Linked DNA regions of Stegostoma tigrinum. The protein of the gene in region 3 purifies or fractionates together with the protein of the main gene of each other region. This does not show direct contact. Links are inferred from orthologs where the notes say so. Each region holds a gene or a part of one and is shown on either strand. Other genes may lie near its edges. The genes, in order: eif3k, eif3g, eif3ba and eif3d.

Region 1 (8,018 bases), on a different chromosome or scaffold from region 3:
ATGGCAGGAAAGAATTCTACCGCTGAATCACAAATGCAAGTAATGTTTTGCAGTTTAGAAGAGGACCCCATCAGTCTAAGACTTTACCAAAACAACAATGTCTTGAAATGAGCAATATTTGGTTTGGGCGGGGTGGGGGTGGGGAAGAGGACCGGAATGAGTAAATGTTAGATTTTTTTTTAAATTTAAAAAACATACCTAGTATAGGAATCAGGAGCATGAAAGTAGTAAACACGACAGAGTCACCAAGGCTGAACTGTATTGATGAGAGGATGTCAGTCAAATTAAGAAGGCTGCAGGGAACAGGAAGAGATACATTCTAAGGAGATTTAGTCCAGCTTGGTGTCATTGACTACCTCTTCGTCAAAGTAAAAAGAAGCAACTTGGTTCGACAACACTTGCAAAACCAGTCAAACATGATTGCTTTTCTATGAAGAAAAACATGGTTAGATGCCACTAAGTAGATGGCAATGCCTTAACCATTTGTGTGTTGTAAGGCCACTAGGACCCCTTCCATCCTTATCAAGGGGAGTGCTAACCTTCTCTCCTTTCATACAACACAGCTGCTGTAATCGGTAAGGACAATATTTATACTCTGGGCTATCGACACTTATTTTGGTCAGTGTGATAGTCTGACTCTTTCTAATATGTACGTCATACTTGAATTCTATATTTGTGTGTATTTAAAGCACATTGTGGAAAATCTGAAAATCTGTTAAAAGAAATATACAGTTTGATTTTCTGACCAAAGTTACGAAGACATATCATGCTAATTTATACAGGTTTCAGCCAATGGACATTCACTTCACATCTGCAGCTCAATCAATCGCTCAAAGCTTGAACAAAACAAAAGGGAAATCAGTCCGGCCAGTATACAGCTCATGAAAACGGGAAAATGTGACAGAGAGTTAGATAGCAGAGTCTGAGAATGATTACAGTCTTAATGGTTGGCCGCCATGTACCTTCCAACTCCTCAGTTGACTGCGCATGCTCAACATGTCGAGCCGCTCCCCCATTCAATTGTATGTGAGGGACTGTACATTGTACTATTTACATATGAATTTATTTAAAATTAAAACTAAAATCATTGTTTATAATCACTATCTGTATCTGATGTTTCCAAGATGCTAAAAGAATAGAGTAAATCAGCACAGAAAAAGACAGTTCATTCCACAATGTTCTTTTCCAGCAATTACTAAAAATGTTGGAATGCAGTCAGTAACCGAAGTTAGGTTCTTACAGTGACATTCCAAGGATCAGGTCGTGAGTCATTGACAATCATTATTAAGGAAGCACTGGAAAGTGTAGAGGCAGCTGATACATATGCCCATATTTTAAAAGGGGGAAGACCTGGGCAAGTAGAGGTTACAGAAAGAGGGTAGGAAATTGGAAGTTTTGGTAGAAGATCAGAAATGATCGTACTGATTGCAAAAGAAAATTTTAGAGGCTGCACAGCCCATTTCTGCTTTTGCAAGCATTGCAGCTAGAAGCATAAAATTACAAATATATAATAGACTTCACAAAATGAGCTAAGTGAAGATAGATCTCAATATAAACTCCTCTGAGATAATAGGAACTGCAGATGCTGGACAATCCGAGATAACAAGGTGTAGAGCTGGATGAACACAGCAGGCCAAGCATCATCTTAGGAGCAGGAAAGCTAACGTTTCAGGCAGGGTCTAGGCCCGAAACGTCAGCTTTCTTGCTCCTAAGATGCTCCTTGCCCTGCTGTGTTCATCCAGCTCTACATCTTATTATCTCAATATAAACAAGTGTGAGACCCAAACCACTTTGGATCTAAAACGTGTAGATTGAAATATTCTGTAAATGTTCTTTTATTTATTTCATGGCATGTGTGCATTGTGGGTTGGACTAGCACTTATTGCTATCTGTAGTTGCTCTGGAAAAGATGGCTGCCTTCTTGAATCACTGTAGTACATTTAGTTTTGATGCACCCACAATGCTATTAATTATTCTGTGTGAAGCTGGATGAACACAGCAGGCCAAGCAGCATCAGCAGAGCAGGAAAGATTGACGTTTCGGGTCGAGAAACTTCTTCAGAAATGGGGGAGGGGAAGGGGATTCTGAAATAAATAGGGAGTCAGGGGGAGGCGAATAGAAGATGGGTAAAGGAGAAGATAGGATGAGAGGAGACAGACAGGTCAAAGAGGTGGGGTTACAGCCAGTGAAGGTGAATGTAGGTGGGGAGTTAGGGAGGGGGTAGGTCAGTCCAGGGAGGACGGACATGTCAAGGAGCTGGGATGAGATTAGTGGGTAGGAGATGGGGGTGGGGCTTGAGGTGGGAGCAATGTTTAGAGAGGCAGGGACTAGTTGGGCTGGTTTTGAAGCTTGTGAAGTCCACATTGACACCTTTGGGCTGCAGGATTCCCAACCGAAATATGAGATGCTGTTCATTCAAACCATTTCATTCATTGAAATGGTTCACAACTGGAAGGTGTAGTTGTTTGTTTCAGTTCACAACGAACAACTACAGCTCCCAGTCATGAACCATTTCAACTCACCCCCTCAACTCCTTGGACGACATGTCCATCCTGGGCCTCCTGCATTACCACAATGATGCCACCCAAAAGATGCAGGAACAGCATCTCATATCTCGCCTGGGGACCCTGCATCCCAAGGGTATCAATGTGGACTTCACAAGCTTCAAAATCTCCCCTCCCCTGATCACATCCCAAAGCCAGCCCAACTAGTCCCTGCCTCCCTAACCATGCCTTCCACCTCAAGCCCCACCCCCATCTCCTACCCATTAACCTCATCCCACCTCCTTGACCTGTCTGTCCTCCCTGGACTGACCTATCCCCTCCCTAACTCCCCACCTACATTCACCTTCACTGGCTCTAACCCCACCTCTTTGACCTGTCTTTCTCCTCTCAACCTATCTTCTCCTTTATCCATCTTCTATTCGCCTCCCCCTGACTCCCTATTTATTTCAGAATCCCCTTCCCCTCCCCCATTTCTGAAGAAGGGTCTTGTCTCAAAATATCAAACTTTCCTAGTCCCCTGATGCTGCTTGGCTTGCTGTGTTCATCCAGCTTCACATCGTGTTATCTCAGATTCGCCAGCATCGGCAGTTCCTAATATCTCTGTATTAATTGTTCTGTTGTTTTAGGATGCTGAAATTTTCAGATACAGAGAGCGATTTTCAAATAATGATTTTAGTTTTAGGTATATTTTAGCAAAAAATGTATATGGTACTATGTACTGTCCCGTACATGCAATTGAATTGGGTGTTGACACTGCATATTGGGGAGTTCCAGGATTTTGACCCAGCAACACTGAAGGAATGGCTATATGTTCCAAAGTCAGGATGGTGAGTGGCTTGGAGGGGAACTTGCAGGTGGTGGTGATAAAGAGTCATAGAATCTCTACAGTGTGGAAACAGGCCTTTTGGCCCAACAAGTCCACACTACCCCTCTGAAGAGCATTCCACCCACACTCATTCCCCTAATTTCCCATGTGCAACTCACCTAACCTAAAAATCCCTGGGCACTTTAGGCAATTTCACACAACCAATCCACCTACCCTGCACATCTTTGGGCTTCGGAGGAAACCGGAGCACCCAGAGGAAACCCATGCAGACACAGGGTGAGTATACAAACTCCACACAGACAGTTGCCCAAGGCTGGAATTGAACCTGGATCCCTGATACTGTGAGGCTATGTTGGGTCAGGGTGGCACTGAGCCACCGTGCTGTCCTGACCCAACCATATTGTATTAGATCTGGAGTCACATAAGGCCAGACCAGGTAATTATGGCATTAATGAACCAGATTTTTTTCAACAGACCATGACTTCATGGTCATCACTAGCTTTTTAGTTCTGCCATAGTGGGTTTCAAATCCAGGTCCCTTATATCACTGTAGCTGCTCCTTAAATAGTACAAAGCTTGAAACAGTGGGGATACAAAGAGACTTAAGGGTGTAGTTAAATAGTTCATTAAAATGTCATAAACAGGTACAAAATATAAACAGAACAGGTTATGGAATGCTAGAGCAAAAGGAATACAAAGGGTGAAGTCCTGCTATTTTCACTTTGAAATTCAGCTATGCAAAGATTCGTTGAGTCTTTAGAGAAGTTATATTGGCCTTGAAGGGATTTCCAATTGTAGTTCTGTAGCTGTGACACTATATTCTGCATTCTGTTCTATTATCTTGATGTACTGATGTAAAGTATGATTTGCCTGAATAGCACACAAAACAATACTTTTCACTGTACCTTTATAAATAATAAATCAAATCAGTGGTTAAATTGAAAGGACAAATTACACCAACTAACATTGTTATTCATGGATTTTAGAAGATTAAGAGATGTTTCATTAAATTTTTCAAGAAAGCTAGGCAGAGAGAAACTATTTCCACAGGACAGGCTATGTAACTTTGTAGAATGAATATATTCCACCTAGGAACTCTTCACCCAATCTCCTTGCCTGCGCAAGTCCTTCTGCAACCTCTCCACTACCTGTCCCTCCAAATTTTATTGTTTTTTTAATTTTCTTGTGGGGTGTGGGTATCGCTGGTTGAGTCAGCATTTATTGCCAATCTCTATATATCCTTGAGAAGGTGGTGATGAACTGCCTTTTACAACTGCTGCAGTCCATGTTATAGGGAAAGGGCAGGAGAATGGGGTTAAGAATCATATCAGCCATGATCGAATGGCGGAGCAGACTTGATGCACCGACCAATTGGCCTAATTGTGCTCCTACGTCTTATGTTCTGTGTGGGGAGACAAAAACTGCCATTATGGAGGATATTAACTTTAAATATTGGAAAATAATTGCACTGCACAGATAATCAGGAGTAAGCATGATTTATCCAAAAATTGCTTGGTAAAAGAAATCGGTTCATCCATATCTGCAAGAAAGACGGACTGCAGAATGTCAAAGAATAGACACTAAACGTATCCAATCGAGTTTTAGCGAATGCGCATGCACCACATGCTACCGCCCGTAGGGCCCATTGCACATGCGCGGGTCCGGCGGTCCTGCGCATGCTCGGTGGCCGCTTTCCCCTTTGACCTCACCGGGCCGGTAGAGACGCGTGTGTCGAGGCCTTGCCGCTTGTTCTAGGCCCGAGAGAAACACCGAGTGTGAAACCAGGAGTTGCAGTCATGAGCGTCATCGAGCAGATGAGAGCCAATGTGGGCAAGCTGCTGAAAGGCATCGACCGGTGAGAAGGGCAGAGCCCTGCGCGGGGGGGGGACGACGACAACGGGCCCATAGCAACCTTTATCTAGCACCCCGTAGCAACAAATATCTGCATCTGTGTAGCGCCTGACACGTCGTCAGGACAGACCCAAGTGGCTGAAACCCAATGCGATATGTCCTGAAGAGCAGTCGCTTCCTTAATGTGGGAAAGGTTGTCACTGCAGAGCAAGATCCCACAATTAGCCATGGATGGGAAATGTTGACTATATGTGGGGTGTGTCGGAACACCAGGAACAATTCTTTTCTAACTCCCCCCCCCCCGTTTTGAAATAGCCCTGACCAGTGGGGTTAATATTGTTTCAGAGATAGTAGGAACTGCAGATGCTGGAGAATCTGAGACAACAAGGTGTAGAGCTGGATGAACACAGCAGGACAAGCAGATCAGAGGAGCAGGAAAGCTGACAAAATGGTCTAAGCCCAATACTTAAGCTTTCCTGCTCGGCCTGCTGTGTTCATCCATCTCTACATCTTGTTACGTCTGACAAATGGGTACCTTGCTCCAGTATTTCACCTGAAAGACACAGCATCCCTGACAGGGTAGTACTCCCCCAGTACTGTACGGTGACTTTTTTTAATGGAAGTACACTGGAACATACTAATTAAGACCAGATTGGTCTTCCAGCCCCTAAAGACATTTTTGCTATCCAGTAAGATCATGGCTACTTCACCCAACAAGGCCCTGGCTGATCATTTTGTGTTGCTATTTCTGTCTGATAACCTTTGATTCATACAACAGTACAGCACAGGGATGGGCCCTTCTGCCCACAATGTTGTACCAAACATGATGCCAAATTAGACTAATCCATTCTGCCTGCCCTTGATCCATATCCCTCCATTCCTTGCATATTCATGTGCTTTCTAAAAGTCCTTAAACACCCCTATCATATTTGCCCCACACCACACCTGGAAGTGCGTTCCAAACTCCTACCACTCTCTGCGTTAAAAAAAACACTTGCCCCTCATATCTCCTTTGAACTTCCCCCTCTCACCTTAAATGCATGCCCTCTAGTTTTAGACATTTCAACTCCAGGAATAAGATTTTGACCATCAACCCTATCTATGCATCTCATAATTTTATAGACTTCTGTCAGGTCTTCCCTCAGCCTCTGCTGCTCCAGAGAAAATAAATCGAGTTTTTCTAGCCTTTCCTTATAGCTCATACAATCTAATCTAGGCAGCATCCTGGTAAGCTGACGTTTCGGGTCTAGACCTGAAACGTCAGCTTTCCTGCTCCTCTGATGCTGCTTGGCCTGCTGTGTTCATCCATCTCTACACCTTGTTATCTCAGATTCTCCAGCATTGGCAGTTCCTACTATCTCAGCATCCTGGTAAATCTCTTCGGCAGTCTCTCCAAAGCCTCCACTTCCTTTCCGTAATGTGGCAATCAGAATTGAACACAATACTCTGTGTGGCCTGACTAAAGACTTATGAAGCTGCAACATGGCATCCTGACTATTTTACTCAATTCTGTGACCAACAATGGCAAGCATACCATTTGTCTTCTTTACCAGCCTATGTACTTGCGTGGCCACTTTCAGTGAGTTATAGACTTGAAACCAAGGTCCTTCTGTACATTATGTTTTAGCAAGCAGATATTTTAATATTTCAGTTCAGTTGTGACTTCTACAAATACAGTTATCATAGCAAACCTTGAAGGGTTGTTGCTGTTATTGAGGCATTTGAGATAATTCTTTGGTTTACACAATAGTGAAAAGAAGCCTGGATTTTGCTTTCCTGTGGAATGTATAGGAAATGTGGTAATATTAAAGGAGGTTGCAGAGATCATAAGAGCCAGGGCTACCAATTTTTGATTTGTTTTTTAAAAACTGTTGAACATTTGGCTATTATATACCATGTATATGCTTAAGATACTTGTGAAGACTAGTGAGTGACCTCCAGCATCCTTTTTGAAGGAGCAGGAAGGTAAGAACCTTTAAGTGTATGTAAAGATTATTTGTAAAAATGAAAATTTCTGGAACATAGTAATTTTGAAAGAACTATTCCTTAACAGGTTACAACCAAAGTTCTGTTTTGCACCTGGAGAACAAATACAAATTCCTTCTGACTTTTCATGTAGTTTAAACAACTGCTTTCTCTTTAATAGTGAGCGAAATGTTGAAATCCAGACTTCTCTATTTTGGAAATGTATGAGATGAGGGACTCTCAGGGGAATGTAGTGCTGACAGCCTGGTTTCTGGTACTGAGACTGTCTGTAATGTAACGAGGGGTACGTCAGATTCAGAGGCAAAGACAGGTATCCTGCCATCGACAGCAGAAATATCAGATTGCTGTGTTGCCTCCCTGGTACCAGATCAAGGATACTGTGGATTGCAGAATGTTCTCAAAGAGGAGAGGGACCACCAACAGGTCACTGTATACATTGGAATTAGTGACATAGGAAGAGAAATGGATGAGACTGACGAGTGAATACAGGAAGTTGGGCAGGAATTTAAAAAGAAGGTCCTTGAGGTTAGTAATAACTGGATCACTCCCGGTGCCACAAGATAGGGAGGGTAGGAATAGCCGGATAGAGCAGATGCATGCATGGCTGGAGACCTGGTGCAGGGAAGAAGGATTCACATTTTTGGAACTTTGGGATCTCTTCTGGGATAGAAGTGACCTGTATAACAAGGATGAATTGAATTGCAAGGGGACTAATATATTCATGGGAAGGCGATGACCTAGTGGTATTATCGCTGGACTTTTAATCCAGACACCCAGATACCTGGGTCTCCAGACCGTTTCGAATCCCAGAATGGCAGATAATGGAATTTGAATTTAATAAGTATTTAGAA
Region 2 (7,829 bases), on a different chromosome or scaffold from region 3:
CTCCCCCCAACATACTCCCCCTCCCCCACATCTCTCCCCCCGACATACTCCGTCCCCCCTCACATACTCCCCCCCACATACTCCGTCCTCCCCCCACATACTCCCCCTCCCCCCGACTCCCCCCCACATTCTCCGTTCCGCCCCCGACTCTCCCCTCCCACATACTCCCCCTCCCCCCCGACTCTCCCCCCCCACATACTCCCCCTCCCCCCCGACTCTCCCCCCCACATACTCACCCTCCTGCCCCGACTCTCCCCCCCAACATACTACTCCTCTCCCCCCACTCTCCACCCCAACATACTACTCCTCTCCCCCCACTCTCCCCCCCAACATACTCCCCCTCCCCCCAACATACTCCCCCCTCCCCCACATCTCTCCCCCCGACTCCCCCCCCACATACTCCGTCCCCCCCTCACATTCTCCGTTCCGTCCCCGACTCTCCCCCCCCACATACTCCCCCTCCCCCCGACTCTCCCCCCCCCACATACTCCCCCTCCCCCCCGACTCTCCCCCCCCCCACATACTCCCCCTCCCCCCCGACTCTCCCCCCCCCCACATACTCCCCCTCCCCCCCCCACATACTCCCCCTCCCCCCGACTCTCCCCCCCCACATACTCCCCCTCCCCCCCGACTCTCCCCCCCCCACATACTCCCCCTCCCCCCCCGACTCTCCCCCCCCCACATACTCCCCCTCCCCCCCCCACATACTCCCCCTCCCCCCGACTCTCCCTCCCCCCCGACTCTCCCCCCCCACATACTCCCCCTCCCCCCCCCACATACTCCCCCTCCCCCCGACTCTCCCTCCCCCCCGACTCTCCCCCCCCACATACTCCCCCTCCCCCCCGACTCCCCCCCCCACATACTCCCCCTCACCCCGACTCCCCCCCCACATACTCCCCCTCACCCCGACTCCCCCCCCCACATACTCCCCCTCACCCCGACTCCCCCCCCCACATACTCCCCCTCACCCCGACTCCCCCCCCCACATACTCCCCCTCACCCCGACTCCCCCCCCCCACATACTCCCCCTCACCCCGACTCCCCCCCCCCACATACTCCCCCTCCCCCCCGACTCCCCCCCCACATACTCCCCCTCCCCCCGACTCCCCCCCCCACATACTCCCCCTCCCCCCCGACTCCCCCCCCACATACTCCCCCTCCCCCCCCGACTCCCCCCCCCCACATACTCCCCCTCCCGCCCGACTCTCCCCCCCCACATACTCCCCCTCCCCCCCGACTCTCCCCCCCCACATACTCCCCCCCGACTCTCCCCCCCCACATACTCCCCCTCCCCCCGACTCTCCCCCCCACATACTCCCCCTCCCCCCCGACTCTCCCCCCCCACATACTCCCCCTCCCCCCGACTCTCCCCCCCCACATACTCCCCCTCCCCCCCGACTCTCCCCCCCCACATACTCCCCCTCCCCCCCGACTCTCCCCCTCCCCCCGACTCTCCCCCCCCACATACTCCCCCTCCCCCCCGACTCCCCCCCCCACATACTCCCCCCCCCACATACTCCCCCTCCCCCCGACTCTCCCCCCCCCGACTCTCCCCCTCCCCCCCGACTCTCCCCCCCACATACTCCCCCTCCCCCCCGACTCCCCCCCACATACTCCGTCCCCCCCCACATACTCCCCCTCCCCCCTACTCTCCCCCCCCACATACTCCCCCTCCCCCCCGACTCCCCCCCACATACTCCGTCTCCCCCCCACATACTCCCCCTCCCCCCGACTCCCCCCCCACATACTCCGTCTCCCCCCCACATACTCCCCCTCCCCCCCGACTCCCCCCCCACATACTCCCCCTCCTCCCCGACTCTCCCCCCACATACTCCCCCTCCTCCCCGACTCTCCCCCCACATACTCCCCCTCCTCCCCGACTCTCCCCCCCACATACTCCCCCTCCTCCCCGACTCTCCCCCCCACATACTCCCCCTCCTCCCCGACTCTCCCCCCCACATACTCCCCCTCCTCCCCGACTCTCCCCCCCACATACTCCCCCTCCCCCCCCCACATACTCCCCCTCCCCCCCGACTCTCCCCCCCAACATACTCCCCCTCCCCCCCGACTCTCCCCCCCAACATACTCCCCCTCCCCCCCGACTCTCCCCCCCAACATACTCCCCCTCCCCCCCGACTCTCCCCCCCAACATACTCCCCCTCCCCCCCGACTCTCCCCCCCAACATACTCCCCCTCCCCCCCGACTCTCCCCCCCAACATACTCCCCCTCCCCCCGACTCCCCCCCCACATACTCCGTTCCACCCCCGACTCTCCCCCCCCACATACTCCCCCTCCCCCCCGACTCTCCCCCCCAACATACTCCCCCTCCGCCCCCACTCTCCCCCCCCACATACTCCGTTCCACCCCCGACTCTCCCCCCCCACATACTCCCCCTCCCCCCCGACTCTCCCCCCCAACATACTCCCCCTCCCCCCGACTCCCCCCCCACATACTCCGTTCCACCCCCGACTCTCCCCCCCCACATACTCCCCCTCCCCCCCGACTCTCCCCCCCAACATACTCCCCCTCCGCCCCCACTCTCCCCCCCACGCCCCCAACCCCCAACTCTCCCCACACACGCCCCGTTCCCGCTGCACACTACCGCCCCCCCCCCAATCTCCGGAAGGGACGGGCGGTAATGCTCGTGACCCAGGATCCCGATTATTTTCAGCGGGAGCTGCCCCGGCGGCGGTAGCTGGGACCCGGCCCACGTGTGGGGCCCGGCCTGAGGCCTGTTCCTTACCCTCGTCTCCCTCCTCCTCCACCTGGTCGGCCCAGCTGGGCTTCGAGCTGCGGGGCAGAGAGAAACAAAACACGTTCCGGTTAGCGACGGAGAGACTGGCGGCTCCGCGAGTAACTCACACCCTCTCCTAGGGTTTCCGAGCCCAAGCCCCGCACTCACTCGAAATCCATAGTGAACCGGAACCGGGCGCATCCAGAGAGCCGGAGATAGGCCGCAGGCTGGGCGGATACGGTGGCCTCCCAAAACATCGCCACCCGGCGGCTGGGCAGCTACAGTAACCGCCCAACACAGCGCCACCCGGAGGCTGGGCAGGTGCAGTGACCTCCCAAAACTGCGCCATCAAAAGGCTGGGCAGAGGCTGCGACCTCCCAAACCAGCGCCACCCGGAGGCTGAGCAGACACTGACACCTCCCTGCACAGTGCCACCCTCAGGCTGGGCGGACACAGTGACCTCCCAATACAGCGCCACCTGCAGGCTGGACGGACTGAATAACCATACAAAACAGCGCCCGTCGGCATATGAGAGATAACAAGATGCAGGGATAATGGGAACTGCAGACGCTGGAGAATCCAAGATAATAAAATGTGAGGCTGGATGAACACAGCAGGCCAAGCAGCATCTCAGGAGCACAAAAGCTGACGTTTCGGGCCTAGACCCTTCATCAGAGAGGGGGATGGGGTGAGGGAACTGGAATAAATAGGGAGAGAGGGGGGAGGCGGACCGAAGATGGATAGAGGAGAAGATAGGTGGAGAGGAGAGTATAGGTGGGGAGGGAGGGAGGGGATAGATCAGTCCAGGGAAGACGGACAGGTCAAGGAGGTAGGAAATGGAGGTGTGGCTTGGGGTGGGAGGAAGGGATAGGTGAGAGGAAGAAGAGGTTAGGGAGGCAGAGACAGGCTGGGCTGGTTTTGGGATGCAGTGGGTGGAGGGGAAGAGCTGGGCTCCCAAAACCAGCCCAGCCTTCTCTGCCTCCCTCACGTCCACACCAACCCTCAGAATATTATCCACCCACGCCCCCGGACCCATCCCTGAACACTACGGGCAATTTAGCACAGCCAATCGACCTAAACTGCACATCTTTGGACTGTGGGAGGAAACCGGAGCACCCGGAGGAAACCTATGCAGACATGGGGAGAACGTGCAAACTCCACACAGTCACCCGAGGCTGGAATTGAACCCGGGTCCCTGGTGCTGTGAAGCTGCGGTGCTGACCACTGAGCGACGTGCTGCCTCATTAATTTTGTCCAACTCAACCATACTGACAAGATATCCTAAATTAATCTAGTCCCATTTGCCAGCATTTGGCCTACAACCTTTCAAACCCTTCCTATTCATATAATGAGCCAGATGCCTTTTAAATGTTGTAATTGTACCAGTCTCCATCACTTTCACTGTTCCTTCATTATTCTCAGGAACTCAGTTATCCAGACACACTTGTTACTAAACAAAAGACACAGTCAGCTGTGCAGGTTCACTGCTGATTTCTTTTCACTTCCCCATGTGGTCTCTACTTTGTCTGCCTTCCTCCTTTTTAAAGTGCTGTTGTTTTGACTTTTTCTTCCAAAGTTTCAAAACAACGTGACTGCTCAAAAGACAGTAATTACTTCTCCAAAAAATCAAGGAAACCATCTTCACCACTGAAAATACCTCAAAAGGAGCAGCTCCTACAGCCACAAATTTTCCCCATCCTCCATGTTGAATTACCCAGAATCTTTTTCATTTGATTTGGTTTATTGTCACATGTGCCTGAGTACAGTGAAAAGCTTTGTTTTGCGAGCAGTACAGGTAGGTCATAGCAAACAAGGACATATAGATCACAGAGATAGTGAGAACTGCTGATGTTGGAGCCTGAGATAACAAGGTATAGAAATGGATGAACACTGCGAGCCAGGCAGCATCAGAGGAGCAGGAAAGAAGACATTTCCGGTCGGGACCCTTCTTCAGAAAACTTTCTTCTGAAGAAGGCCCCACACCTAAAAAGTCAACCTTGCTGCTCCTTTGATGCATACAGATGGCAGGGTGCTCAGACAGAGTGAGACATACAGCGTATACTGCTCAGAAGGTGCGCAAAGCAAGACTAACATTATTTGAAATGGGAGAGGTTCATTCAGCAGTCTGATAACCGCAGGGAAGAAGCAGTTCTTGAACCTGTTGGTACATATGTTTAAGCTGCTATTATCTTCTGCCTGACAGAGGAGGTTGAGAAGAGATTATCACTGGGGCGGGAGGGGTCTTTGACAACGTTCACAGCCTTTCCATGGCAACAAGAAGTGTCAATGGAGTTCATGAATGGGAGGTTGGCTTGTGTGATGGTGTGAGCTGTACCCACAACTTCCCGTGGTTTCTTACGGTTCTAAGCAGATTTCCAGCAGCCACGTTCTTTTGCTTGTATTTTGAGAATTTCTGTGAGATCCTGGATTGAGGAAGATATGCTTGATTAGGAGTGAAACCAGGAAACACATCCCTGTTCACACAAAGAATAGGGAACATCTGGAACTCAGATGGAGATCTGGTTTCAGTTGGAGATTTCAGTCTGGGATTGATAGAATATTGTGTAATTGTAAATCTGGACCAATGATCGGTAAAGAGCAGGTACCATCTGACTGAATGGCAGAACAGACTTGCGGGATGAGTGGCCTGTTCCTGTTTCTGTTCCCGATGCTGCAAGGCCAAAAAGTGAAGCCCGATCACAGAACTGTTTAAGAAAACTCTTAAAATTTCCAACATGTTGCATTTATTGTGGATCTTTTAACATGTTTAAATGATCCTGGGGCATTCAAGAAGGATAAGGGTTTGCAAGCATCCTTGCAAAGAGCAGAGAGAATTAAAAAGAAACAGAAATGTCTTGTTGTTATCAGTATGACAGTAAACATGGCAAGTTCCTGCAGCCTTTCTCAGTGGAGCATGTAATGGTCACGCTATCTGCTGCATTGATCGGATATTTCAAACTGAAAACAGCTTTTATTATTGATGTTGAGTAACGATTAGAAACTATGCATTCCTTAAATCACAGATTATATCTTCGGCAGTGATGCAAACTGGAAAGTGTGTTTTGACCACGGTTCGGAATCCTTCCTCAAAAATGATTATACTCGAATCAACGTATTTACTGCATTTCCCTTACCAGAGAGACCACCAGATTTAAACGTTCTGTTTTTATTTCAAGTTTGCAGCGTCTAAAGTATTTTTCTTTGACAGTAAAACAGCAAGGCCAATCGTAAGGCATTTGCCCACAGAATCATGTTTAGGGGAGTCATAGCAGCACAGAAACAGGCCCTTCATCCCAACCTGTCCATGCCGACTTGGTTTCCAAAACTGTCCTAGTCCTGTTTGCATGCATTTGGCTCCCTTTCCATGTACCTGTCCAAATGCCTTTTAAATGTACTATTTGTATCCACCTCTGTCACATCCTGTTGCAGCTTGTTCCATGTACGCACACGATGAGATAGTTGGCTCTCTCCCCCGTACCCAGCTTTTCCTGGAGACGTGTGGGTGGAAAAGAAAATCTCAAAGAAAACCACGTTAGTGCAGCAAAAACGTCTTTATGTTCAACTTGTTCATGCTGCACAGTGGCCTGACCTGGCGTTACCTTGAGGACATTTTATTTCTGCTCATTGTGTTGCCTGTCCAGCATATTGTCATCACTCTCGAACATCAATTCCACATTCCCACGCTGCGGTGTAAAACCCCACAGCATTCGCGTTCCCCTCCTGCAGCTTCAACTCAGGACGGAGAATGGCGGGAGTGGGTGGTTTCAGCAGATTCCTTAAGACTGCTGGTTTGGAGAATGTGCTGTATCTGTGATTACCGTACCCCACTGTATCTGTAATTACCGTACCCCCCTGTATCTGTAATTACCGTACCCCCCTGTATCTGTAATTACCGTACCCTCCTGTATCTGCAATTACCGTCCCCCCCTGTATCTGTAATTACCGTACCCTCCTGTATCTGCAATTACCGTCCCCCACTGTATCTGTAATTACCGTCCCCCACTGTATCTGTAATTACCGTACCCTCCTGTATCTGCAATTACCGTCCCCCCCTGTATCTGTAATTACCGTACCCTCCTGTATCTGCAATTACCGTCCCCCACTGTATCTGTAATTACCGTCCCCCACTGTATCTGTAATTACCGTACCCTCCTGTATCTGCAATTACCGTCCCCCCCTGTATCTGTAATTACCGTACCCTCCTGTATCTGTAATTACCGTACCCTCCTGTATCTGCAATTACCGTCCCCCACTGTATCTGTAATTACCGTCCCCCACTGTATCTGTAATTACCGTACCCCCTGTATCTGTAATTACCGTACCCCCTGTATCTGTGATTACCGTACCCCCCTGTATCTGTAATTACCGTACCCTCTGTATCTGTAATTACCGTACCCCCCTGTATCTGCAATTACCGTCCCCCCCTGTATCTGTAATTACCGTACCCTCTGTATCTGTAATTACCGTACCCTCCTGTATCTGCAATTACCGTCCCCCCCTGTATCTGTAATTACCGTCCCCCACTGTATCTGTAATTACCGTACCCCCTGTATCTGTAATTACCGTACCCCCTGTATCTGTGATTACCGTACCCCCCTGTATCTGTAATTACCGTACCCTCTGTATCTGTAATTACCGTACCCCTCTGTATCTGTAATTACCGTACCCCCCTGTATCTGTAATTACCGTACCCCACTGTATCTGTAATTACCGTACCCCCCTGTATCTGTAATTACCGTACCCCCTGTATCTGTGATTACCGTACCCCTCTGTATCTGTAATTACCGTACCCCACTGTATCTGTAATTACCGTACCCCTCTGTATCTGTAATTACCGTACCCCACTGTATCTGTAATTACCGTACCCCCCTGTATCTGTGATTACCGTACCCCCCTGTATCTGTAATTACCGTACCCCACTGTATCTGTAATTACCGTACCCCCCTGTATCTGTGATTACCGTACCCCCCTGTATCTGTAATTACCGTACCCCACTGTATCTGTGATTACCGTACCCCCCTGTATCTGTAATTACCGTACCCCCCTGTATCTGTAATTACCGTACCCTCCTGTATCTGTAATTACCGTACCCTC
Region 3 (7,434 bases):
ACCTTGTTATCCCAGATTCTAAAGCATCGGCAGTTCCCACTATCTCTGAATAAAATATAACTGGTGCCCTCACATGAAAATTTTATTTCGCATAACAAAATAGGAGTGCAGGAAATTGAAAATAAAGGACATACATTTGCATATATTTTGATGACTACTTCACAACCAATGAAATACTTTGGACGAGTAGTCATAATCTAACTTCAGAACACAGCAGCTAACTTGCCTACAGCAAACTTCCACATAGATCAATACAATAGACACCAGACAGAAAATCTGTATTTTTTTGGCATGCTCATTGATGGATAAATATTGATCAGGACATTAGAAAGCACAGTCCAACACTTTTTCAGAGAAGTGCTATGGGAACTTCTGGATTTACCCATGCAGACTCATAGGAAGTTCATTTAATGTCTCTTCCACAAGATGGCACCAATGACAATTAGCACTTTGAGTACTGCACAGGAGTGTCATTTCTGTTTTTGTGCTCCAGCCACAGCGTATAACTTAAACACGGAATCTTGGGCTTAAAATGTCAGATTAAACTAAGCCAAGACTGGCACAATCATGTGCAATGAAAAAAAAATCAATCTGAAACATTAATTCAGCTTCTCTTTAAACAGAGCTGTTGTCAGATCCGTTTAGTGATCCAACAATTGTTCTCATTTTCACTTCTCCACTGTCCTACAGTATGTGCATCTGCTATCTGGAGAATACCACAAGTAAATATTCAACTACAGTTAATGTTTCTGGTCAGACCATTTAACCAGAGGATGTAAAAGATTTGGATTTCTAGAAGGTGTTGGATAAGCGACGTATGTCAGACTACTTTTTTTATTATTCATTCATGGGATGTGGGCAATGCTGGCGGGGCCAGGATTTATTGCCCACCATGAAAAAGTAATAGTGCACTGCCCTATTGAAGCAATGCAGTCCATTTGGACACACAATGTAGTTAGGAAGAGAGTTCTGAGCACGTGCGGCATTGGAAGTAGTATATTAGCACAGATACAAGCTTGTCTACACAATAGACGACTTGGGACAAGGAGGCACGTTTAGGATGGCAATCCACAACCAGTGGTGTGCCACAGGGATCAGTGCTCAGGCCACATTTATTTAGAAGATATATCAATTATTTAGACAATGCAAGTGAGTATACTATCACCAAGTTTGCAATGACACAAGAAAACTGGTGGGAAGGCAAGTGGTGAGGTTGGCAGTCTGCAAAGACATGTAGCAAGTGGGCAAATATTTGACAATTTAAATATAACGTGGCAAAATGTAAGGTTATGCACTTGGCCAAGGCAGAACAGCTAAATATTGTTTACATGGAGAAAGACAGCAGAAAGCTGCAGCACAGAGGTATCTGGTAGTCTGTGAGGGCATCCGAATGGTTTCTAAAACACTAACATATGAAAGTTCAGCAGGAAATAGGAAAACCTTGCTAAAACTACAGAATCCTTACAGAATACTGCAATCAGTTTTGATATCCCCATCTCATGAAAAGTATAACTGACACCGGAGGCAAAATAGGAGTGGTCAATTAGGTTGATCCTGGATACAGAGGAATTGTCTTATGTGGTAAGGTCGAGTAGATTGGGCCTGTACTCACAGGAGTCCAAATGAATGAAAGGTGACTTTTACTTAGATTCTTCCAGGAAGGTGTGGAGATGTTGCTTCCCCTTGTGTTAAGAGTCTAGGATCAAAGAGAATAATTTTACAGTAAAGGGTCACCCAGTTAGGTGAGAGTTGGAGCAGAGTTGCCTCTCTCTAAGGATAGTGAATTTGTGGAATTCTTTACCATAGAGGGCTGCAGAAGCTGGGTTGTGCTAGGTATATTCAAGACTGAGATCAACAAATTTTCAATCAATCAGTAAAGGAATAAAGGGTTTATGGGGAAAAGGCAGGAAAGGGGATTTGAGGGTTATTAGACCAGCTACAATCTCACTGAATGGAACCACAGACTCAATGTGCCAATTGAGCTAATTTTGCACCTTTATGTCAAAATCTTATTAATTGATTTTATATAAAGTGCCTGTAGTACATGAAATGTGAATATTTGCTATTGTTGGAGGATCAGATTAACTACAGATTTAAAATATTTTGATTACAGATTTTTCTAATCAGCTAGCAATCAGTTTATAACCATGCTAAAATTACATTTGTAATGTTTACAGAATGATTTGGTTCTGGTGTGAACATGTTTTTCCTTTTATCTCATGGAAGACATTGCATATTCATCTAATTTATAAGGATCCCATATTGCATTGCACCCTTCTCAATATAGGTTACACAAGAGTACAAGACATTTAAAGTGATATTGAATTGAAGAACTGTGCAGTTGCAGTTACATCCACCACTCTGTAGTTCATACAATGTTAACACCGGATACTGCACCTTATTTAACTGTAATTTGCGTCACTACGACATACACTTCTAATGGTACAGATCAAACGGAGGCTAGTGATTTCTAATTAAGTTATTTTAAACAAAGTGTGTGAAAATACTTTCAAGTGAAAAAGCGGATTCCCTAGTTTAAATGAAGAACTGCAGTTGTCGCTTAATGATTCACCTCCCTTCACTGTACAGGCTATCTTTCTGGAAAAAAAATATTTTGTCACAACACTAGACACTACTGAATTTATGATCATTAATAATGTGTGTCATTCCCAAGTCAGTGTGTTCCAGCTCTATCAGCCAGGACCCAGTCAACCTGCCTGCTCATCCGGGTCCAGGCCCAGCCTAGGCCTCAGGCTCCAGTCACTCCCAAACGCACATGGGCTGGGGATATGAACCGGTTCCCCTCCATGTGTGCGAATACCGAAAGCTACCCCACTCATTGTCTTTACCCTCATCGGAGATGTCATCCTCGAAGCCTTCAGGGTCGCTGAAGCCTTCCTCGGGCTCCTCCAGCTCTGCCAACTCATCGTCAGCCTCCCGAGCCTCACCATCCCCACTCGTCTCCTTCATCCTGCTTTCGCTGGGCGGCCGGAAAAGAAAGAGCGAGCGCGGAAGTGCGCGGCCGGGCCTCTCTGGGGGAAGGGGGGGTGCAAGGCATGCGCGGTCCCGCCGGTTCGCCTGTTCCAAAGCAATCAGAGGGGCGAAAGCGCTGACATATAGATAGGATTTGGAGGAAATTACCGGTTGTTAAACGGAGGTAGTTTACATACGTATATTTTTGAAAATCTATTACTATAATTCGCTGATTTTGTGTGAGAATCACCGCTACTGTTGAGGATTTGTTGTGGAACATTCCTAATGCTCCCCCCTGACTGTGAATGGTGATCCAGTCCAGGTCGTCTGCTGGAGGGCATGGCGATGGCTTCGTTTGGTTTGTGCTCGTATCCGCGCTCTCTACCTTTGGGTTGATTGTTCACGCAAGGTGTCTGTTTACATTAAAACCTCAGGTCATTTTAAGGCGATTGTTGTAGTGGAGCCAGAGTCCGCTTTTCCCAGTTTTGATTGTAGGACAGTGTCCAGTTTAATCTTCCCTCACCTTGTAGTTTATTTCACTGACATGGATGCCTCTAGAATGGGCGGCTCACAAATGGCCCATTAGACCTAACTGGTTGGTACAAGTGCTGCACGCCAGCTTCCTCCATTCACTGTTTTACCCTCTCGGTGTTTTTGTTTTATCTCATTTACTTAACCTTTCAATACCTATGCCATTCTCTTTAACCACTTATTCTATCCGCCCTCAGGGAAAGGAAGTTTCTTCTGAGTTCTCTACTAGATTTATTACTGACTGTTTTATAGTTAGGATGCCAGGCCGAAAACATACCTAAACTTGCTTATTAAAACATTATTGACGTGAAATGTTAATTCTATTTTTCTCCCCACAGATGCTGCCTGACCTTGAGTGTTTCTGGCATTTTGCCTTCCCCTTTCCTTAACTTCTTTAATGTCAAAGGAAAGGAATTAAGGGATAAGGACCAAGGGCAGGCAGAAGGGATTAGTTTACCTTGGCGTCATGGTCGGCACAGCATTGCGGGCTGAAGGGCCGTTCCTGTGCTGTACTATTCTATGTTCTATGAAAGGTGCGAGTGAATTCTTCTAGAAAGACAGACGTCAGCAATCAAAGTAATAGGATCAGATTGAAAGTATCATTTGTAATGAGTATTTTCAGTTCGTGTTTGGTATTTTACAAAATACTTCCACTCATGTCGTATGGTCTTAAAATAAAAAATGCATATCTATTAGAATCTGACTTACCGAAGTTCTTCTGCAACAAAATGTAACAATTGTACGCTTGGAACAAAGATATTCTCAAACCACAGTAGTGTTACAGTTACCTTATTTTGTCCATGCGCCTGGGCTAAATTTAGTGTTAAGGTGATCCTCGGGCTACATCTGGCCTATCACAAGACACATTGTTCCTACTCTAAAATATTGACAACTTGTATTCCTGTCTTACCTACACCCCTTCTGAAATGTAATTCCCTGGCTTTGCCTCATCGAGAACTGACCTCTCCATCGCCCTTTTTGCTGATTTATTGTCTTTGTTTTTCCTAAGTCTGTCTTAATAAAGAACTCTAGAGTCTACAACCTTTCCTGTGTATCCAACATCTGCCCTTACTAAGCAGAAGTAACTCTGAAGCTAAGAGTATTAATGTTGATCATTTTCAAATTTTAGCAGAGTTCACTAGATATGTTTGCTTCTGATATATTCTTTCCTATCAAGGTATAAATATAAACTACTAAAAACAGAAAAAGCTGGAATTATTCAGCAAGGCTGGCCGCTTTTTTAGCAAATGAAGTGGAGTTGACAGTGTTTCCGATCTATGATTATTCAGAACTGAGTCGTTGACGTGAAATATTAATTCCGTTTCACTCTCCAGTGCCACACAGTTGAGTATTTCAAGCTGTTTTTGTTTTCATTTCAGATTTTCAGTGTGTGCATTACTTTTATTCATAATATTTTATGAATGAATGCAAGTTGTTATAACGAAAAGGAGAAACCAGACTTAAACACATCTGTTCCAAAAAACCATTATTTTGATATTCAGCACAATACACATGAACAATTAATCATAATTACTTTAAAAAATGTTGATAAGTCATACTTCTGAAGATGGGATGAAATATCAAGTTGTATTTGTTGAATTGCTTTGTATGGGAGCATCTTGGAGAATATAAGTATCTTTTGGTAGTGTTAAGATAGTGAGGAACTACTTGCCAATTGTAGCAAATTTAAAACTTTTGGCAATGTTCTTCAGAAGGTATTTTGCATAATATACAAGAGCATGAAGATTTGTATTTTGTTTTTTTTCCCTCCCATCAGAGAATTTATCATATAATTGGAAAATGGAAAGTGAGTGTGTGGAGTTGTTGCCCCGTGTTTTCTCAGTTTTAGGAGATGCCGGGCAAACGGTTGTTGATGATACCTGTTTGGAGAAGCTGCTTGATTGCTTCCGAGGAACAACAGAAAATGGTAACTGGATACTCACTTAATTTGAAGTCATGATTAATACAACCAGTATCAAGTATGAAATGAGTTTTATTTGTATAATTTATTTTTTTTCTACACATTAATGTAATCTAGTACTGGCCTTTGTTACAGTTTGTGATATTAAAGCTATTATATCAATTCTGTTGCAAAAATACTTTGCCACCAATGAGGTTTTTTATCTCCCACATCAACCGTCCCATGAAATTTTCAAATAAGCCTTCAAATTTTGAAGAAATTGTGCCTAGGTTGACATGGTAAGTTAAGGTGAAATAGATTATTTTTCAGAAAAGTTGGTTGACCCATTCATGTCTAAATAACATGTCTATGTGTCTGGATTGAACATTGGCTGCTTTCTTTTAACCATCAAATTTGGATTTCTGTTCATGTGGTCTGCATTACTCAGTTTCATCTGGCATTCCTATCCATTTGCCTGGTTGCCCTAGTTTTTGTTATCCAGGGAATTTAATGCGTTATAATATTGTTGATGTAATTACATTTGTCACCTCCAAATTGCACTATTGTTCTAACTCATTTAAGGTACAGAAACCAAAACATAAGACTATGCCTTGAGTGTGATCCTCAGTCTGTGATTAATCAGAAGTCCACAATGAGAATAGCGCTAAAACTGGCCTCAGAGGGAAGAAGACTGGGTAGAGTTCTGACTACTGATTGTTAACCAATGATTCCTGTTAAAAAGCTCAATTTTGGATATTTGACTGGATACAGAATTGATCTTGGCTAAGCTATCCCACTGATTAAACAGTATGCTGACACAGTGAATATGACCTCACACTGTACCAGTGAGCAATCATTGTCCTTGACCTTTGCAGGAAGACAATACCATCAGGTGAAGGAGAAAATACTGACACCTATGTTAAATAAAGGAACATTATAAACTACAGTGTTAAAATTGAATAGTAAATTTGTGTAAAACTTTATTCACTTTTACTTTTCTGTGTTCCCTTCAGAAACAGAACTCCATATTCTACAGAGAATCCCGTGTCTGACAAACATAATTGTAAATGTATCCAAACAGAAGGATATTCACCCTAACATCCTCTCCTTCATTATGAAGCTGACTGGACTATTTGCTGCATCAGAAAACTATTTTATTCAGTTAGAGGTTAGTAATTAGAAGATAGTTTATTTTCAAGTTTTTGTTTGACGTAAAAAATATTGTTTGTGGTATTCAAGTATAACTGCTCGATTAGAGTTGAAATTAAATTCAAGTTGAAAGTGAAAATTCTGGACATAGACCAGTATATCTATGTCTAACAAAGATGAAAGAGTTCAACACCTAGTATGTACTTCTATTTGGCAAAGGGTGTGCATGTTAAAATTAAATCTTCCTCCCACTTTTTTCATATGCTGTTGCACCCACTATGTATTTCCAGCATTTTCTGGTTTTGTTATTTTCTTCGGGTATCTTGAAATGCCATGCCTATTCATTTTACACAGGATAATTTGTTCAGAGCAATGTAGCCTTGATCTCATCCAAAACTCTGCTTTCTATAACCTAACTTGCGCTGTGTCCTGTTCACAATCACCTCTGTGATCACTGACCAGCATTGGCTTTCAGCTAGACAACATCATTCTTCCTAAAGTTCTCATTCTTAGTTTCAAATTCCAACATAAACCTATACCTCCTTATGTCTGTTACTTCCTGTAAGCATGCAACGCTTTGAGATATCCTTATACCAATGTTGCCAATTCAGATCAGCTATGACTTAACTATCAACTGCCAGGACCTCCAACATTGGCTATACCTCCTTAAATTCTCTACTTTGTTTCTCTCTTTTTAAGTTTATTTTTACAAATGCTTCTTCATGATGAGGACCCAGCAGAGGAGAGTGCAAATGTTGTTCATTCCCCCAGGTTCTGTGCCTGGGCAGCACCAGCACTCTGAAGTGACTGCCTCGTGCCTAGCTCACCATACTCGTGCTCTGCTTTCGAATGGACTTCCAGCACATGAGTTTCTATTGTCT
Region 4 (7,731 bases), on a different chromosome or scaffold from region 3:
TGGATTATCCTGGATCACAGGGGTCAGGAATCGTGCCATCTTCTACAACCAGCTGCAAAGAGACACCCAAACACCATATAAATGGCAGGAGGGAGAGAGCCGGGGGGAGCCGCAGCCATTCACAAAAGCAGCTCACTACCACCTGAAAGGGTTACATAGAAAATCTCATCACCTCCACATTGGGGCGAAAGCAGCTTGGTGTTCGATGACTATTCTCCAACACTCAGCCCTGACCTCGTATGGCAGGGCATTTCAAGCGCAAAACACTTTTTGAATGTTGTGATGCTTCCTGCCTTTGCCACCTTCTCAGGCAGTGAGGTCCAAATCTCCAGCACCCTCTCGGTCAAAACATTTTTTCTTAAATCGCCTCTAAACATCTGGCTCCTTCCTCCAAAACTGTGACATTTTGATTACTCACGCTATCAACGCCCTTTATAATCTTGTATATCTGTCAGATTTCACTCCCCACTCCCTCAGCCTTCTGTGCTCTCACGAAAACAGCCCAAACCTATCCAGTTTCTCTGCTTCACTGAATCCCTCCAGCCCAGGCAACATCCTGGTGAATCTCCTCTGCACCCCATCCAGGGCAATCACATCCTTCCAGCTATATGGGGACCAGACCGACACACAGTGCTCCAGCTGCGGCCTAACTCATATCTTACACAGCTCTCTCACACAATCGTATCCTTCCTCTACACTGGTGATCATAATTGCACGCAGTCCTCCAGCTGCGGCCTAACTCATATCTTACACAGCTCCATCATAACTACCAATGTCTTGACTAACAAAAGCAAAAATCCCAATATTTAACCACCTCAAACACGTGTTGCCTTCAAGGTTCTGTGGACACACACACCAGGGCACTTCTGACCCTCTGCACCTGCTAGGGTCTCACCATTTTTTGTATCATCCCTGGCCTTGTTAGTCTTCCCAAAAGGTATCACCTCACACTTTTCAGGATTAAATTCCACTCGCCCATAATTCAGCCCATATGACCAGCCTGTCAATACAATTCTGTACTGTAATGTTTACCTCTTCGCTATTTACTATGCCACCAATTTTTGTGTCATTTGCAAACCTACCAATTAAACCTCCTACATTCACGTCTAGATCATTAATACGCTGTAAAAACAGTAAAGGATCCAGCACCAAGCCTTGCATTCACCACTGGATACAAGCTCCTAGTCACAAAAATAACTCGTCAACTATTATACCCCGCCTTCTGCTGCTGCTAAGTCAATTCTGGATCCAAATTGTCAAACTGCCCTGGATCCCATGGGCTCTTGCTTTATTGACCAGTCTACCATGTGAAGCCCTGGCAAAACCATTACCAAAATCTATGCAGACTACATCCACTGCACAACCCTCATACACACATCCAGTCACCTCCACAAATCACTGAATCAAATCTATCAGGCATGATCTCCCCCTAAATAATGTCATGTTTCATTAATCTTTGACTCTCCAAGTAGAGATTAATTATGTCCCTCAGAATTTCTTTTCAAGAGTTTCCCTACCACTTGTGTCAGAGTCAAGGTGGCCTATTGATGTCCAATTTACCCAGACCACCTTTCTTGAATAACGGGGGTGGGGGGGGGCCTGTGCCCGGATCCCCGGGGGGGGGGGCTGTGCCCGGATCCCCGGGGGGGGGGGGCTGTGCCCGGATCCCCGGGGGGGGGGGCTGTGCCCGGATCCCCGGGGGGGGGGGGGGGGGCTGTGCCCGGATCCCCGGGGGGGGGGGGGGGGGGGCTGTGCCCGGATCCCCGGGGGGGGGGGGGGGGGCTGTGCCCGGATCCCCGGGGGGGGGGGGGGGGGGCTGTGCCCGGATCCCCGGGGGGGGGGGGCTGTGCCCGGATCCCCGGGGGGGGGGGGGGGGGCTGTGCCCGGATCCCCGGGGGGGGGGGGGGGCTGTGCCCGGATCCCCGGGGGGGGGGGGGCTGTGCCCGGATCCCCGGGGGGGGGGGGCTATGCCCGGATCCCCGGGGGGGGGGGCTGTGCCCGGATCCCCGGGGGGGGGGGCTGTGCCCGGATCCCCGGGGGGGGGGGCTGTGCCCGGATCCCCGGGGGGGGGGGCTGTGCCCGGATCCCCGGGGGGGGGGCTGTGCCCGGATCCCCGGGGGGGGGGGCTGTGCCCGGATCCCCGGGGGGGGGGGGGCTGTGCCCGGATCCCCGGGGGGGGGGGGGGGCTGTGCCCGGATCCTGTGCTCCTGTCCCTCTCCGGGCACCAACCTGCGCCGACACCGCTCAGGCGGCTACATCAATGCAACTGGCCAGTGCCCGGCGGAACGACAACTCAATGCCCGCCTCAGGCGCTAGACAAACGCAGGGCGAGGGCCAGGCCCGAGGCCTCAGGCCCGATCCCCGGTATTGGTTCGGGGCCCGACGCCCGCGGACAATCCCCCCCCCGGCGCCCCCCGCGGGCCCGAGCCGCCGCCTCTTACCTGGTTCCCGCCGCCGCCGCCGGATCCGCGAAGCTTCACAGACACCAACAACCGGCCGCCGCGCTGTCGTAAAGCGCCGTAAACCGGGGCCGTTACCCGGCAGCGAAACGCCGTAAAACGTCCAAACCCGCGGGGGCGCCACACGGCCGCAAACTGCCGTAAAGCAGGAACACAGCAACGGAATTTGCTGGAAAAGCTCAGCAGCGTCTGTGAAGGGAAAGAAAAACCCGAGTTAAAACGTTTTCGGGTCCGGCGGCCCTTCCTCAGTGTCTACAAACTGCCGTAGTCCGGCACGGGAAGGAGGTCGTAAGGTGCCGTAAAACGGAGCCGCCACGTTGCGGCAGATGGGTGCGACAGCGCTGCCGTAAAGTCGGTCGCAAGACAGTGCCCCGTAACTGTCACGTTTTCCGCTCAGACTCGGGGAACATTCTCCAGCGGATCCTGGGGGGCGATGATTCGTTTAAAAGAGGCGGCGACTTTCTGCCACACCACCGTAAAGGAGGTTCGGGTCCACACCACGACAATGTCGTGAATGTGCTGTCGGATTAAATCGTTTTAAATAGCAGACCTGAAGACGGCCCCAAGGCCGGAGCCGTGTTTCTCTCGGCGCTTTGGTTTAGATAAATCCCAACGGGCACCAGCTTTGATGGAAATCGGGAATTGGGCGCCGCGGGTTGAAATCCGCTTTACGGCAGTGTTCCGCGGGCCGCTTCCACACGGAGCTGGCGAGCGGCGCCAAGATGGTCCGCACCGTGACTGAACGCCGCTCCCCCCACCCACCCCACACAGCGCCACCCAGGTGGGCGGGAGAGGAATGGCGGCACAGCCACTGCCCCAGGGACAGTACTAGAACCAGTGGAGAGAATGTGAGCGTGTGTGGGGACCGCTTTGCAGAACACCTCCGCTCAGTTCGCAACAAACTACTGCACCTCCCAGTCGCAAACCATTTCCACTCCCCCTCCCATTCTCTTGATGACATGTCCATCATGGGCCTCCTGCAGTGCCACAATGATGCCACCCGAAGGTTGCAGGAACAGCAACTCATATTCCGCCTGGGAACCCTGCAGCCCAATGGTATCAATGTGGACTTCACCAGTTTCAAAATCTCCCCTTCCCCTACTGCATCCCTAAACCAGCCCAGTTCATCCCCTCCCCCCACTGCACCACACAACCAGCCCAGCGCTTCCCCCCCACCCACTGCATCCCAAAACCAGTCCAACCTGTCTCTGCCTCCCTAACCGGTTCTTCCTCTCACCCATCCCTTCCTCCCACCCCAAGCCGCACCTCCATCTACCTACTAACCTCATCCCACCTCCTTGACCTGTCCGTCTTCCCTGGACTGACCTATCCACTCTCTACCTCCCCACCTATACTCTCCTCTCCACCTATCTTCTTTTCTCTCCATCTTCGGTCCGCCTCCCCCTCTCTCCCTATTTATTCCAGTTCCCTCTCCCCATCCCCCTCTCTGATGAAGGGTCTAGGCCCGAAACGTCAGCTTTTGTGCTCCTGAGTTGCTGCTGGACCTGCTGTGTTCATCCAGCCTCACATTTCATTATCTGAGAGAATGTGAACCACTGCCAGAGAGGACAAGGATAGAAACAGGGAGACGAGTGAGCTCAGAGGTTTATTAAAGTAATGAGGGGCTTGGTAAGGTGAATAACAGACCTTTTCGCCCCCGAATGGAGGGTAATCCGAAACTAGGTTCATCGGCGAGAAGGGAAAGATTTAGAAGGGACTTAAGGGGCAATTGTTTTACGCAGAGGGTGTTGTGCCTGGAATGAGCTGCCAAAGGACAGGTACAGTGGTGGTGGGCACAGGTACAGTTACAACATTTAGAAGGCATTTGAATAAGTTCATGAATAGGAAAGTTTTAGAGGGATATGGGCCAAGCACAGGCAGGCGGAATTCACTTAGGAACATGGTTAGCATGGACTGGTTATGTCATAGAGTCATCGAGCGGGGAAACTGAACCTATGATGGAGAGGGACTGAGCGCGAGATGCAAAGAGTTGCAGTAAAAGAGACTGAGGAAGAGCACGTCATCTCAAAATAGGTTATGCCCTGCAAAAATCCAGTGAGCACAAACAGCACCTTCCAAACCCACGACCACTTTCATCTAGAAGGACAAGGGCAGCAAGATACATGTGAACACCACCTCCTGCAAGTTCCTCTTCAATCCACTCACCTTCATGATTTGGAAATGTATCGCCGTCCTTCACTGGTGCTGGGTCACAATCCTGGAATTCCCTCCCTAAGGGCATCGTGGGTCAACCTACAGCACAGGGACTGCAGCGATCCAAGAAGGCAACTCACCCCCACCTTCTCAAGGAACAACTAGGGACGGGCAATAAATGCTGGGCCCAGCCAGCGACATCCCATCAGTGAAGAATACAAGGAAACAAGAAAATTGTAAACAGTAAATTCCCACCAGCAGCAATGTGATAATAACCACTTATTATAATAATAACTGTGATGATAATAATAACTCCTTTGTAGAGCATCTACACTCTATTTGCAAAAAGTGACAACACCTTCCGGCTGCAAACCATTTTAACTATCCCCCCACCACCGGACGACACGTCCATCCTGCCTCCTCCAGTGTCACACAACACCACCCGGAAACTGGAGGAGCAGCACCTCATCTTCTGCCTTGGGAGCCTACGTACCAATGGTCTCAATGTGGATTTTACCAGTTTCAAAATCTTCCCACCCACCCCTGGCCTTATCCCGTGTCCAACTCTCCCTCTCATCCTCCCCCCTCCTTGACCTGACACAACCTGTCCATCTCCTGTCCCACCTAACCACCCCCAACCTGCACTCACCTATCACCATCCCAACTACTTCCCCCAGCCCCACCCCTCCTCTCTATTTATCTCCCAGCTCCCTTCCCACCTCTCCCCTCCCCCACCCTTTCTGAAACGTCAGCTTCCCTGCTCCTCTGATGCTGCCTGGCCTGCTGTGTTCATCCAGCCCCACACTATCTTCTCTCAATCAGGTCACTCCATGTAATGTTCTAGTGAAAAGGCCAAGCATTTTTCTTCAGTTTCCTGCAGCTCTCAAGAAGCTGTCAGCCCCACTATGTCATCCTGAACCTTTCTCTTTTTCTCTTCTCGAGGTCAAAAGTTGAAGCTTAAAATTGCCGTCATTATTTCTAATTCCCAGAGTAATTCCTTCACTGATTTTAATTGGTATCACACATAACAGAGACAAAGTTTGAGGGAAATCTTTCTAAAGAGTGATGTTACAAAATAGAAATCTGAAAATGTATAAAATATTTTTATTTAACATTTCTCTTTCAAAACATTATCTTTGTACAATATGTAGAAGCATGATCTTCATATTTTATTGTAAGATATAATAAAATAGAATCTAAATTAGCGTAGGTGCAGTTCACCGCATTTTGTAAACGTTCCTCCAGCTTTCTCAGTGGTGGGTAAGTTTGTTTGAGCTACTTTCTTTTTGTGACTGGCTCGAAGTGATGAAGATGACCTCGATTTCAGTTGAAAAGCAGGAAAGATTCAGCTTTATTGAGTAATGATTCCCCAAATTGGGAGAATTTATGATCGTACAGCCCTGACATCAGGTCTGTTTTAAAATACTTGCAGTGACTTTTCTCAGAAATACTGGTGCACGCCGTCTGGAAGCAGGGACCTGTGGGTGCTCGCTGTGTCTGGGAGCCGGGCCCTGTGGGTGCACGCTCTGTCTGGGAGCCGGGTCCTGTGGGTGCACGCTCTGTCTGGGAGCCGGGTCCTGTGGGTGCACGCTCTGTCTGGGAGCCGGGTCCTGTGGGTGCTCGCTGTGTCTGGGAGCCGGGCCCTGTGGGTGCACGCTCTGTCTGGGAGCCGGGTCCTGTGGGTGCACGCTCTGTCTGGGAGCCGGGTCCTGTGGGTGCACGCTCTGTCTGGGAGCCGGGTCCTGTGGGTGCACGCCGTCTGGAAGCAGGGACCTGTGGGTGCTCGCTGTGTCTGGGAGCCGGGCCCTGTGGGTGCACGCTCTGTCTGGGAGCCGGGTCCTGTGGGTGCACGCTCTGTCTGGGAGCCGGGTCCTGTGGGTGCACGCTCTGTCTGGGAGCCGGGCCCTGTGGGTGCACGCTCTGTCTGGGAGCCGGGTCCTGTGGGTGCTCGCTCTGGGAGCGGGGTCCTGTGGGTCCATGCTCTGTCTGTGAGTGGGGTCCTGTGGGTGCTCGCTCTGGCTGGGAGTGGGGCCCTGTGGGTGCTCGCTCTGTCTGGTAGCGGGGCCCTGTGGGTGCTCACTCTGGCTGGGAGTGGGGCCCTGTGGGTGCTCGCTCTGCCTGGGAGCAGGGTCCTGTGGGTTATCACGCCGTCTGGGAGCGGGGTCCTGTGGGTGCTCGCTCTGCCTGAGAGCAGGGTCCTGTGGGTGCTTGCTCTGTCTGGGAGCGGGGTCCTGTGGGTGCTCGCTCTGTCCGGGAACGGGGTCCTGTGGGTGCTCGCTCTTTCTGGGAACGGGGTCATGTGGGCGCTCGCTCTGTCTGGGAGCCGGGTCATGTGGCTGCTCGCTCTGTCTGGAGGCGGGGACCTGTGGGTGCTCGCTCTGTCTGGGAGCTGGGTCCTGTGGGTGCTCGCTGTGTCTGGTAGTGGGGCCGTGTGGGTGCTCGCTCTGTCTGTGAGCGTGGCCCTGTGGGTGCTCGCTGTGTCTGGGAGCGGGGCCCTGTGGGTGCTCGCTGTGTCTGGGAGCGGGGCCCTGTGGGTGCTCGCTGTGTCTGGGAACGGGGTCATGTGGGTGCTCGCTCTGTCTGGGAGCCGGGTCCTGTGGGTGCTCGCTCTGGGAGCGGGGCCCTGTGGGTGCTCACGCTGTCTGCGAGCGGGGCCCTGTGGATGCTCGCTGTGTCTGGGAGTGGGGCCCTGTGGGTTATCGCGCCGTCTGGGAGCGCGGTCCTGTGGGAGCTCCCTCTGTCCGGGTGCGGTATCCTGTGGGTGCTCGCTCTGTCCGGCAGCGGGGTCCTGTGGGTGCTCGCTCTGTCCGGGAGCGGAGTCCTGTGAGTGCTTGCTCTGTCAGGGAGCGGGGTCCTGTGGGTGTTCGCTCTGTCTGGGAGCGGGGTCCTGTGGGTGCTCCCTCTGTCTGGGAGCGGGGTCCTGTGGGTGCTCGCTCTGGGAGCGGGGTCCTGTGGGTGTTCGCTCTGTCTGGGAGCGGGGTCCTGTGGGTGCTCGCTCTGTCTGGGAGCGGGGTCCTGTGGGTGCTTGCTCTGTCTGGGAGCGGGGTCCTGTGGGTGCTCGCTCTGCCTGGGAACGGGGTCCTGTGGGTGCTCGCTCTGTCTGGGAGCGGGGTCCTGT

The links.
Region 1: the proteins of eif3ba (region 3) and eif3k purify together in Homo sapiens (affinity purification with mass spectrometry; 7 studies listed by BioGRID and IntAct, with this or other methods). This does not show direct contact. The link is inferred for Stegostoma tigrinum from reciprocal best matches to the Homo sapiens genes EIF3B and EIF3K.
Region 2: the proteins of eif3ba (region 3) and eif3g purify together in Homo sapiens (affinity purification with mass spectrometry; 12 studies listed by BioGRID and IntAct, counting the BioPlex papers as one, with this or other methods). This does not show direct contact. The link is inferred for Stegostoma tigrinum from reciprocal best matches to the Homo sapiens genes EIF3B and EIF3G.
Region 4: the proteins of eif3ba (region 3) and eif3d purify together in Homo sapiens (affinity purification with mass spectrometry; 10 studies listed by BioGRID and IntAct, with this or other methods). This does not show direct contact. The link is inferred for Stegostoma tigrinum from reciprocal best matches to the Homo sapiens genes EIF3B and EIF3D.

Annotation. Positions count from the first base shown.
Region 1 is NC_081392.1:16,942,051-16,950,068, forward strand, and holds the start of eif3k (eukaryotic translation initiation factor 3 subunit K), read left to right. Parts: upstream 1-5,000; 5' UTR 5,001-5,126; coding exon 5,127-5,185; intron 5,186-8,018. UniProt on the Homo sapiens protein: Component of the eukaryotic translation initiation factor 3 (eIF-3) complex, which is required for several steps in the initiation of protein synthesis.
Region 2 is NC_081388.1:22,375,196-22,383,024, forward strand, and holds the start of eif3g (eukaryotic translation initiation factor 3 subunit G), read right to left. Parts: upstream 3,006-7,829; 5' UTR 2,993-3,005; coding exon 2,904-2,992; intron 2,792-2,903; coding exon 2,745-2,791; intron 1-2,744. UniProt on the Homo sapiens protein: RNA-binding component of the eukaryotic translation initiation factor 3 (eIF-3) complex, which is required for several steps in the initiation of protein synthesis.
Region 3 is NC_081376.1:1,082,765-1,090,198, forward strand, and holds the start of eif3ba (eukaryotic translation initiation factor 3, subunit Ba), read right to left. Parts: upstream 3,005-7,434; 5' UTR 2,971-3,004; coding exon 2,850-2,970; intron 1-2,849. Other genes in the region: brat1 (BRCA1-associated ATM activator 1), read left to right, coding at 5,305-5,431, 6,418-6,572.
Region 4 is NC_081391.1:24,612,957-24,620,687, forward strand, and holds the start of eif3d (eukaryotic translation initiation factor 3 subunit D), read right to left. Parts: upstream 3,006-7,731; 5' UTR 2,442-3,005; intron 53-2,441; 5' UTR 40-52; coding exon 1-39. UniProt on the Homo sapiens protein: mRNA cap-binding component of the eukaryotic translation initiation factor 3 (eIF-3) complex, a complex required for several steps in the initiation of protein synthesis of a specialized repertoire of mRNAs.